Oryzias latipes: one gene and its partner. The protein of the gene in region 1 binds, or shares a complex with, the protein of each later gene. Links are inferred from orthologs where the notes say so. Each region holds a gene or a part of one and is shown in the gene's direction. Other genes may lie near its edges.

Region 1 (7,337 bases):
ATAAAAACTAGTCTATTCCATTCAAAATTTAGACCAGCAGGACAATGTGATTTTAGATCGCCGGTCCTCTTGAATTAAGAAAATAAGAGCTACTCCAAGTGAAAGATAAAGTTAACAAACAAAAAAAGTTTTACAAAAGTGGAGAAAAGTAAAGCATCCAATACTTTTCCCAACTACGAGATAAGTTAAGTAAAACACAACCTTTTTTGTTCAATTCTTGCTTCTACGGCTCAGTGTTCACTAAGAAAACTGCCAATTAAAGATAAATTTGAACGAGAATTATGCAGGACGAGAGGGAGAAAGCCCATTGACATCCAGTTTACTGTAAATACACGAGCTTTTCCAAGTCCACCAGAACAAAACTACCTCCTCCTGCTAACACACACAATCTAATTACTGTTGATTTTAGTTTTCATGTAAATAATTGATCGATCTTTGCAGGTGGTAGGGTTGAGGTTGCATGCTAGGCAAATGGTGTTTAAGACATGCATGATAAAGGGGGGATGCTGTGCTGCGTGGGACCTGCGGGACTCAGCCAGCTGCTGCTGCTGCTGCTGCTGCTGCTGCTGCTGCTGCTGCTGCTGCTGCTGCTGCTGCTGCTGCTGCGGCTGCTTGAAGGCGGGATTCAGCCGCAGATTCACGTCGTTCCCATCATCCTCTCAGAGATTCCCACGACCTATCTGCCCCCGCACATGGCAGACGACACATTGTCACCACCCGGAGTCTCCTCTTAAATATTGTATTTGTTTGTTTTCTGTAATGATGGTGTGGTGCATGTAGATTGCATGAGACTCCTCTCCATGTCCACTCCATCTCAGTTTAATCTTCCCAAAACGTAGCGATGCAGAGACAGAGGCGCTAACATCAACTTACTGCATCCTCTTTCTAGGATGCCTCACTTCCCCAAATGCAATCTGTGTATACAGTCATGACTCAAACATTTGGACTGATTGCAATAATAAGAAAAAGACTTACCAGCGCCAGACGGTCCCGGCTCCATGATCCCATTCACTTAGCCGCAACGGTGCAAGCTAGCTAATCCTGGGTGCTGTGGCCAAACCGCCGGCCCCTTCAGGTTGGAAGTGTTTCAGACTTCCAGCCCCCTCCTGTCGGTGTTGAGTCGTCCCCTTTCTCGGTGTACTCCCGCCCCCTACCTCCCCAGCCGACCCCCCCCCCCCCCAGACCCGCAGAGAGGGGTTGAGGCTAACGCGACAGTAGCAGGCAGTTGCTGCTTTGCCCGTTGACCCTGAATCTGCTACGGCAGCGCTGGAACGCCTTGATTCTGATCGCTATTACTCCGGCGTGATTCCGCCGTGGACGGTGGATTTGCCGATGGTCCACGCAGCTGGGATTTCTTACTTAGTGTGTTCTCCAACTCAACGTTCAAGCAGGGTTCTCCAGCGGAACAAAAAGGGCCAGTACCTCAACCCCCCCAAAAATCTTAAACTTCTTCTTTGTCACCAAAAAAAGTCCAAACAAACTGTTGACAAACTTAATGTCAACCTCTAGTGGTGAAAGGCGGAACTGCACCCCATATTTTGAAGAGACAAAATTGAGGATTCACAGAAAAAGCTTTTTTATCATTCATAAAATCAATCCATACACAAAATGTGAGGGAAACTATTAACTATATTTTTTAGCTTTATGTGAGGGTCAAATGTGTTTCTAAGTCTGAAAAGTTGACAAAATTAAACATTTAGCACATTGAAGCACTCTTTTTCACTTAAGTCTAATGGCATTCAATTGAGTGATTCCCTGACACATTTCAACATCAATCCAAATAAATAAGCAACACATAACAACGTGTTTTATCAATGGCAAAAAGTCCCAAAACATGAACTGTACAAGAATAGAATTTACAATGAAAACCGTGAAACTTAGCAAACCCCTAAGCAGATTTATCAAAAGTGTCAAAGGTTGGGAGTCTGCGACATGCAGGAGAGGCTTGATTTTGCTGAGATGTTTCCAAATGTCAGCCGAAAAATGACATGTGTTGTGTATTAGGATGAGACTGGGTTGTCTGATGGGGAAAAAATAGAATAGAAATTAATTGAATTGAACCTTTTTCCCCACAAGGGGTAAATTACCTTGTTACTCTCGCTATATTAAAAACAGCAGATAGATAATAAAAAACATTAAAATTACCCTTCAAAAATATTGACATCAATAATTATTATCCAGCCTCTATGAGGCTTCGTAGATATATGTGAAATCTCTGTGTGTGTTTTTGTTCATTTATTTTTGTACAGACTTCTCGTATAAGCATGTACTTTTTTTGCTTCTTCAAAATACCTTGAGTTTCATTTATCTCTCCAGACATAAACCCAGATATTTATTTATTACCTATTCAAAGTAGAAAGAAAAAAAACCTTAGCAAAACCAACTTTTATTTTTGCTTTTAGTCTGAAAGTAGACAGCTTAATCATAACATTCGTAATGCATTTCTGTTCTATCTCAGAATAGTTGCACTTCTGTGAATGCGCATTTCTAGTTATTCACTTGTGTTTCTTGACCATTGCTCTCGTTTTGGCGGTTATTTTGCAACCTCTGACATCGCAAAGCGATTGGACAAAGAGTAGGAGAACTCGCTGTTTTAAATAGGCGAAGATACATCGATATACATAGTTTTTATTTGATTCTTTAAAATACATATAATTCGAAACCCGTGTAATTTTCTTGTGTGTTTAGAACAAACAACGGCGCGCAATTAAATGCTCAATGTGCGTGATTTGAAAATCCGAGGATGCACGTGCAACAGGAAGTCGTCATGACGCATTTACGGCACGTAGTTCCTGTGCGGAAGTGGTCGTCATCGTAAAAGCTATGAGTTGGAAGCTGTGAAATATGAGAAAACAACTTGTTCTTCTATGGTCTGAATGAAAAACGCGGCTTCCGTTGAGAGTGAGTTCCTGTTGGAGGATTTTGAGTTGTTTTTTATTTACTTAAATAACCATTTAGCAGTTAATTCATTGCATGATGTGTCGCGAGCCCTGTTGGCAGTTGACGTTGAAACCCACTACTAGTAGTACTAGCTTAGCTGCTGCTTGTGAAATGTAATAGTGAACAGAAATGTGACAAAAATAGAAGGCTTGCAACAGTGGACTAATATTTTTTAACAAACTGGGACGTGTTTTTGGTTTTTAACCACCTGAAAATGCTTTAATGACGGAATTTCAGATCGTCTGAAGGCAGAAAATGTCGTGGATAAGGGAAGGTGAATTAAATCTGCTTGAAAAGATCGCTTCCAATGTCCTTAAGGTAAGACTGCTGTCTTCTGGTGCCATTTTGGGTTTAAACTTTGAGTTCAGGATATTTATTGCTCCATATAATATGAAATTATCTTTGTCATCCTCTATAGTTATTCATATAATAAAGACATAACAAACCTATAAAGAAGCGTTTGTTTGAGTTCTAACTATTATTTTCCCAATTAAGCAATTTGTTTCATATGCACACAGGCAAACAATAACACCATTGTCCTATTATTCAGATTTGCTAATCAGAGTTCAGATCTAAGTTGACTGTCCAACATAGTATTTACTTTATGGCATCGGGCTAAATCCATTTGTTGAAATAATTAGTTTCTTTGTTTTGGCATTAATGAAACTGAGAGACTAAAAAAAGCCTCCTGTATTCAGTTAAACTTCCAGGAATCTTTTGTTTCTGAAAAATCTCGGCAGAATTTGAGACGCCCTCAACTTACTGACTACATTTTTGTTTTAATCACAACCATGCTTTCATCCCTTTGTAAAATCAGATGGACACTAATTTGTTTTTGCAATCCTATGGACATATGACAGTTGTTTAGTTTGTTAACGCTCAAACCTTTTGTGACTTTTACAATCCCATCATCCAGTTGTTGAATTTTGTTGTTGTTGTTGTTCTCTGATCCCGTGTAATGCTAGGCAGGACCCATGCCCAAACATGTGGCCTTTATCATGGATGGAAATCGCCGCTTTGCACGTAAGAAAAACATGGAGCGCCAGGAAGGGCACATGCAGGGCTTTAACAAGCTGGCAGAGGTTCGTTTTTTTTTTAATTCATGTGGGGAAATGCATGCCATTACGGGCCATATATTCACACCACTTAACCCCTTTTGTCTTTCACACCAGACGCTGCGTTGGTGCAAGCAGCTGAGTATCCCAGAAGTGACAGTTTATGCTTTCAGCATTGAGAACTTCAAGCGCACTAAAGAAGAGGTGGACGGACTGCTGGACCTGGCCAGGCAGAAGTTTGAGAGGCTGCTGGAGGAACGGTCAGTTTTATGGACAGATTTCCACTTTGCTGTTTATGGTTCTAGTGACTTTGATTCATCATGTGATTCAGAGCTTCCTCACAGCGCAGCTTAAGAGGAAGCAGATTTGTTTCAGTCACACATGTAATTTCAAGGGGGAAAATTTGAATATTCTTTGGTTTCAACAAGTCACACTTTGTTGTTGGAAACGTGTTTAAGAAAAGGGATTTTTTTTTGAAGCTGTTATTCCTATATTCTCCTCAAAAATTGAGTATGATACTTTACTAATGTTGGAATGATGAAGTAGATCATCAGATGAGAGATCAAAGCCTCAGATTGGAGTGGAGCAGCAGGCTTGTGGCTTGCCGTAGTAGCCTCTATGTCACACCTACAAGCTTTTCCCAACATTCTTTTTGCGTCTGCTACTGATTCAGAACGATTTGAATAAAGAAATACTCTGAAATAAAATTTTAACTTAATTTATTTTATGAAATGTCCTCCATGAGAAAACTGCTTCAAATGTTAAATGTTAAAAAAAAGTAAAGGTATGATTGGGACTTGAATGATATGGTGTGGATGAAAAAAACCCAGTTAAACATAAGACTTTGTATTTCTCAACATAAAGGTGAAAGTTTGTGATTTTTGCTTTAGACTTTAGGTTCGGCCAAGTGGGTACATTATTTTGAAAATCAGTTTCGGCAATGAAGTTGGGAAAGTTTTTCAATTGCAACTCCACAAACAGCCTTTACACGTTTGCTCAGGAACTTTTTTCTCTCTCTGAGGATTTATCTTAATTGTTAGCCTTGATAACAATATTTTCTGTGACAGCTACTCTTAATCTGGATGTCTGCTGTGGAATATCTTCCACTACCAACAGGATTTATAATGCAGGGCACATTGCAAACCAGCCTTCCACATCCCACCAGGCCACAGAATGCTCTGTGGTTGCAAGAATTTATTTGAAGTTTCTGTCAGTAAAATTCACACACAATATTTTGATAATCAAAAATGAAAATATATTTTTTTCCTGGAATTGTCATGATTTGCTTTAAGATCTGTCTCTCCCCTTAAAGGTTTCTGTTTTGTCTTAAAGGGAAAATCTGGAGAAACATGGCGTTTGTATCCGGGTGCTGGGTGACTTGAACATGCTGCCACTTGATCTTCAGCAGCTTATTGCCAAAGCTGTTTTAACAACTAAAACTAATAACAAGTATGTCTTTGTATTTGTGCTTTTATTTTGTAAACTCGATGATTAGTGGCAAAACCCAGCCTCGTTTCATCATTCCATGACGCGTCTGTGACGGCAATGACTTCTTTATTTCTAGATGTTTTCTCAACGTGTGCTTTGCCTACACGTCCAGATATGAAATCACCAACGCCGTCAGGGAGATGGCTTGGGGAGTTGAGCAGGGCCTGATCAAGGCAAGGTGAGCAGTTCACCAGACACTTGTGGGTTAATCTCATCAATACTCCTGTGTTGAATAGCATTGAGACAGATAATCTGGAGACATTGACAAGCCGCTCACGTTTCTGTCGTGCTCAGCGATGTTTCGGAGGCGTTGCTCAGCGAGTGCCTGTACAGCAATAACTCTCCTAATCCTGATCTCCTGATCCGAACCTCAGGAGAGGTGCGCCTCAGTGACTTCCTCCTGTGGCAGGTATGAAGACAGCTCTGCTAATACGCCACTTTGTGTACATTTTTGTAAACACTTCACGATGAAAGATTAAAGACGTGTACAATAGTAGTGGCTAAAGGTGAATTATTATTACTAAACCGCTGCAGTCATTTGTTTTCTTCTCCAGTATTGGGAGTGCCTGTGATCCTATCAGTTAAACTTGTATTTCTGGTTGGGTTTTTCAGTAGTTTTATAACCAGCTAATTAAAAAAAGAAATACTAGCTCAAATAAATACTAATTTAAACTCTTTTAAGATCTGCAAATCAGGGTTTCGCTTCAGTTCTGTCATTATTTTATCCTTTTTTACTGGATGATTATCAAATGCGATACAGTATTTATTCTAACAACAAGCTTTAAATGACGGCAGACGTACATCACTTCCCTCTTTTTTTGTTTATTTTGTTTGTTAGAAAGGCTGCTTCCAGTTACAGGCATATCTTTGAGCTGTTTTCTCAAAAATCAGCTATTTTTGTTGTTTGGCATCCAAATCTTTGTCTTTGGAGAAATGTCAACTGTCAGATGTTGTCCATCCACAGACGTCCCACTCCTGTCTGGTGTTTCAGTCGGTTCTGTGGCCCGAGTACACCTTCTGGAATCTGTGTGAAGCCATTCTGCAGTATCAGTTAAACCACAAATCCATCCAGGTTAGTCCTACTTTACTTTTTTGGGGGGTTCACTGTGTCCTTACTGAGAGAAACTTTAACTATTTACCCATTTAATTAAAAAGAAAAAAAGTCTAGGTTTTTATTTTTATATTCACATATTTTTAAAGCCTGTTCTGCTCTGCAGGCACACCATAAACTAAGAGGGGAAAAACAGTTACTGTTGCTTGAAGTTCAGTTCAGTCCAGTTGTGGCAAAGCCCTTTAGCTACGTTCACACTGCCCTCGGTTTACAGGGAGCTAAACACATTTATGTCCATTTTACGGCTCTATGTACAAAACCATTAAATGTGCGTTGCAACCTGGTTGAACTAAGATCAATCAGGGACTCAGATTTGGTTGTGACATATGGATGGCGTCCCTTTTAACTCACAGAAGATCCAACCGTTTGAAAATTGACCATGCAGGAGAAATGAATATCTGTGGTTTAGGCCCGGCCGGAATTCTATGACACCATGTCTTTTTTTTTTTAAAGGAATAGAGCTGTGAAAGAAAACGGCTGGAACAAGATTCATGAAATATGCGCTGCTTTGACATTTCACATCAAGCCTCTTCCAACCATAGGTGGCGGTCATGCACTAGTAAACAGTAGAAAAAGAACCAGGAGGAGAATCCCTTCCCTGCTTGACCAGTATGATCATCATAGGCTGTACTTGTGTCTAAAAATTCACGTTTAGTGAGTTATTGATCGTGCGTCACATGCCTGATGTGTCCATAGCTTGAGAGTGAAGTTAATGAAGAACAGTTTCAAAGATAATAAATTAT
Region 2 (4,277 bases), on another chromosome or scaffold:
AGGTTGGGTTCTTACCTGGCCAACACTCTGCAAAGCCTTCAGGTCGTTCTCTGACTTCTCATATTGTTTTGTTTGGTCTCTGAGCTGCTCCCTCACTAACACAAAGGACAGTGTTTTTGTTATCGTTACAATTTTAAAGAATTAAAAAACACAACAGAAATAGACGCTGAAAACCGCTGGTAACCGTGTAGTCAATTTATTAAAGAAGAAATCGGTGTGGTTCTTCTGTGACTCTGCTCTCTGAGCGGTCTCACTGCAGATTTCCATAGCTTGAGTTTTGTATGTTAGCTGCTGGAGCTAGCATAGCACCAAAAAAACGTCCAATTTTGGGTGTAACAATCCCAGATTCAAAGTAGACTATATTAGTAAGACCCACAAGGGTCCCACTTAAATGGGATCCAGTCGCAAACTGGGTTCAAGGTGTGTTTACCCGGCTGAGGCCACAGACTGACATGCTAACTACATGACACAGCAGGAACATCAGAGAGACGCGGCTATCGATTATCGAAATGAAAACGCAAACAGTTCAAGCTAAATTGCTGTCTATTTTTCACCAAACTGATATAGACACGTTCTCACATTCTTTGAGCCGTCCGTCAACCTCCTTATGCTCCAAAAGTTTCTTTCTGTAATCTTGCAAAGCTTTTTCTCTTGTGTCCGCCATGACGCTGCCTGAATGAGGGGGGAGCGATACTTCTTTTATGGATCAGCGGCAACTGCTGGGCGCGCTACTGCCGCCTAGCGGTAAGATGTGTGCAATAACCACGTTCTCTCTTTTTAAAATGGTCAATTTTTCCATTAGGTCAAATAAACATAAGGAAAATCGATGTTTGGTAAAACACATTACTGTTAATAGGCATTTTTATTTAAATGTATTGGGGCAGTGGTTGGCGCTCTTGCCTCATAGCAAGAAGGCCCCCGATTCAAGTCCTGGCTGGGGGACCTGAAGAACCGGAACATCAATGGGGGACCTCTCTGTGTGGAGTTTCCATGTTCGCCACGTGCATGCGTGGGTTTTTTCTGGGGACTCCGGCTTCCTTCTACCGACCAAAAACATGCTTCATAGGTTAATTGGTTAATCTAAAGTGTCCATTGGAGTGAATGTGAGACTGCGTGGGTGTGTGATTCTCTACTTGTGTGACAGAGACTGGCGACCTGTCCAGGGTGTCCCCTGCCTTCGCCCACAAGCGGCCGGGATAGGCTCCAGCAGCTCCATGACCCCGAAAGGGAATAAACGGAAGAAGATGAATTAATGAATGTATTTAATTTAGAATAACGCTTTATTTATCCCACAAATGGAAAGTTGCCTTGTTGAAATAAAGTCAATACATTTTGATTTTATTTAATACATTTATATATTAAATAAGTAGCAGATCTGTGTTAGATATAAATTGAGAATTGCTACTTGAATGTAAAGAAAGTATTCAAGACATAAAGCATGTAAAAATAAGCATTGCCTGCAATACGCACGCTGACCACTGGGGACACTACCCTGAATTGTTGGGCGGGCCTCGTTTCCGTCACTGTGGTATCGACCAATCAGAGAGCTCCGTGTATCACGCAGCACCGCAGGTCAGAGTTCGGAGGTTGACAGGCAGGGTTATGGTGGAGGTGGTGATACATTGGCGGGGCTGAGGTGATTCGAACAGAAACAACCTAACACACAGAACCAGTTGGCCTATCGGAACCAGCCGAGGAGTGGAGCACCGTTTGCTGAAGTGGAACCAGCAGCTGTAGTGAAAGCGGGGAGCTGAGAGTCGCTCCAGTGCGGCGGAGCCACGCAAATCAATCTTCTCCCTGATTTCTCCAGAGTAGGAGCTGCACTCATGGCGCTGCTGTACGGCCTGCTTTGGCGGCTCCTGCTCGCTCTGCTTCGCGTCAAGAGAGCCCTCATGTCGTGGCTTCGAGGCCGCCTGCGGAACCGCGGCGGTAGCTTGTGGGAGCGGATGGCGGCGGCGCTCCTCCTGCCCGCGGCTCTGCCGACGGACTCTCAGAAGAAGCTGGAGCGGAGCCCCGTGAGCGGGAGCCGCGCTGACACTGGCAGCCGCCGCGCGCAGTGGCTGGCGGATGGCAAAGCTCTTGAGAAGTTGCCGGTGCACGTCGGGTTGATGGTAGCCGAGGAGGAGCCCAGCTTTACGGACATCGCAAACCTGGTGGTGTGGTGCATGGCCGTTGGTGTGTCCTACGTCAGCGTCTACGATCATCACGGTAATCTGTCCCCGATCAGTACACCTGCGGATGATGCACTGTCATGGCGCACCCCTTTTAAATTACTTACACACACTTTGGATGAATCAAAAAGTCCAGTCACGTGACCGCCTGTGGTTAACATTAGTTTATCCCCGGTAGAAAATGTAATACACGAAAGTTTAAGTGACATGCATAAGATGTTGGTAGTTTTGAACCGTAAAAGAGTACAAAATGTGTTTTGATCACAAGAATTAAGATGATCTGGGTCTGAGATCTGTTCCTCTGTGATTGGTTCAGATCCGTGATGATCTGACTGTGACATCAGACTCAGATCAGAGCGATCCAGTTTTTTCGGGCGCACACAACAAAAATTCATTATTAAACCAAACTTATTTTAGGTTTCAGCCAAATTTTATATTCACAAGAAAGATGGTCTAACTCCAAAATATAAACATTATTTTCAAACAGTATGCCACAATGAAACAGTTGGTCCTTTTTTAAAACAAAGCTTTATTGATTTATTTTATTTGGCTCTAAATCCTAACTGTTACTAAGGATCTGTTGAGAATCATTGGTTTCCATTATCCTGCAGCACTGGGGTCTACAACCTTCAACAAATCAAGAGCCTTTGGGTTGAAGTCTTACTTGATTTACTTGAAAAAGAAAACACTGATTTACTTTTGTTATTGTTACTATTGTAGAAAATATAAAAACTTATTTTTCTGTCAACCTGTTTTGGTTTGATACATACTTTCCTTCAGCTGTTTCTAAATGGGTTAAATAAAGTTTGACAGTTTGTGTTGCTTCTGAAGTGTTTATCAGTTTAAAAAAGTGCTATTTTTCTTTTTGGGGGGTTCTTCTATATCCAGATCCTAGCCTATGAAGTCAAACTGTTCTCTCGACATGCAGAAAGTCCGATTTTTGTCTCTGACGATACCTGAACTTTTCTCGTCTTTGTGTCCCTCAGGTATCTTCCAGAAAAACAACTCCCATCTGCAGGAGGAGATCATGAGGCAGCAACAGAACCTGCTGGGACTGGACGGGTCCAAATACAACGTGGAGGTTCTGAGTAACGGCGGTGACGAACACCAGCACTGTGGTGAGACCGCCCTGATCTCCTGAATCTCAGTTTTTCTTGACATTTCTTTCTCTGTAAAGATGGCTGAGATGCTCACCGTGTGGGGTGACTGTATCTCGTGTGTCAGTTGTGTCCTGCAGACCCACGGTGAAAGTCTTGTCTCCTGAAGACGGGAAGCACAGCATCGTTCAGGCGGCCAGGAAGCTCTGCCATGCAGTGGAGAACAAGGAGAGGAGCTCCAGAGACATTAATGTGTCCATGCTGGACGTCATGCTTAGAGGTACTCGGTCCTGCTTCAAATTAGAAGATATGATCACGGACGGAATGCGAAGTCGGCTTTGTAGACCCAGAAGGCCTCATTTAGCATGTTGGATGTTAAAGATTGGATGAGATGAGGACATTCTTTGGACAAGTTGAAAAAAATGAATCAGTTTTCCTAAAATAACAAAGAAGCTCAACTATAATTCAAAATAACATCAAAGTCAAAATGACGAATGAAACTTTGTCTTGTAGACATGTGAGATCAGATCAGAGATGAAATGAATCAAACTTCTCATGCTAACTGTAAGGCACGGCGGTGGAGGACTGATAATGCGGGCAAATTTAGCAGCTGTGAAGGGCAATCCGGTAAACCAGACATAGAAAGTAACATAGGTACCAAAGAAAAAGCCTCCTTCTTCTAAACCCTCTATAGTCTTCTTCAGGGTCCCAGGGAGGCTGGAGCCTATCCCAACCTCAAAAGGGTGAGGGCGGGTTCCACCCTGTTCGCCAAACCATTTCAGGACCACACAAAGCCACCAACACTCACATTCGCACCTAAAGGGGAATTTAGGGAAACACAACAGTTTGATCCACTCTCAGAAGTGCAGTGTGAAAGCTAATCCATCTAAATGAAGGTCACTGTTTAATGATCTTGTTGATCTGTTTGCCTTAAGCTCACTTCACTTCAGGTTTTTTTTTATGTCAACCTTGACTGGATGGAGTTGAAAACATGTCTCTTGTTTCAGAA

The links.
Region 2: the proteins of dhdds (region 1) and nus1 are in contact, whole or in part, in a crystal structure (PDB 7PAX), measured with the Homo sapiens proteins. The link is inferred for Oryzias latipes from reciprocal best matches to the Homo sapiens genes DHDDS and NUS1. Residues at the interface, in NP_995583.1 of Homo sapiens: Arg37, Arg38, Glu81, Asn82, Lys84, Arg85, Arg159, His160, Ile162, Ser163, Val166, Arg167, Met169, Ala170, Trp171, Val173, Glu174, Pro180, Ser181, Ile183, Ser184, Glu185, Leu188, His199, Glu209, Val210, Arg211, Leu212, Ser213, Asp214; in NP_612468.1 of Homo sapiens: His137, Gln138, Pro193, Glu194, Lys197, Ala198, Ile200, Val201, Ala204, Gln205, Phe207, Cys208, Gln209, Val211, Ala212, Arg217, Pro218, Thr219, Leu221, Asp222, Val223, Leu226, Asp237, Pro246, Val247, Asp248, Ser249, Thr250, Leu251, Gly252.

Annotation. Positions count from the first base shown.
Region 1 is NC_019874.2:24,538,487-24,545,823, reverse strand, and holds the start of dhdds (dehydrodolichyl diphosphate synthase complex subunit DHDDS), read left to right. Parts: upstream 1-2,750; 5' UTR 2,751-2,901; intron 2,902-3,177; 5' UTR 3,178-3,195; coding exon 3,196-3,258; intron 3,259-3,905; coding exon 3,906-4,022; intron 4,023-4,112; coding exon 4,113-4,255; intron 4,256-5,327; coding exon 5,328-5,444; intron 5,445-5,559; coding exon 5,560-5,661; intron 5,662-5,777; coding exon 5,778-5,892; intron 5,893-6,447; coding exon 6,448-6,555; intron 6,556-7,337. Other genes in the region: protein argonaute-1, read right to left, coding at 976-1,000. UniProt on the Homo sapiens protein: With NUS1, forms the dehydrodolichyl diphosphate synthase (DDS) complex, an essential component of the dolichol monophosphate (Dol-P) biosynthetic machinery.
Region 2 is NC_019882.2:10,566,189-10,570,465, forward strand, and holds the start of nus1 (dehydrodolichyl diphosphate synthase complex subunit NUS1), read left to right. Parts: upstream 1-1,477; 5' UTR 1,478-1,826; coding exon 1,827-2,208; intron 2,209-3,157; coding exon 3,158-3,289; intron 3,290-3,395; coding exon 3,396-3,548; intron 3,549-4,275; coding exon 4,276-4,277. Other genes in the region: psmc6 (26S proteasome regulatory subunit 10B), read right to left, coding at 16-95, 580-664. UniProt on the Homo sapiens protein: With DHDDS, forms the dehydrodolichyl diphosphate synthase (DDS) complex, an essential component of the dolichol monophosphate (Dol-P) biosynthetic machinery.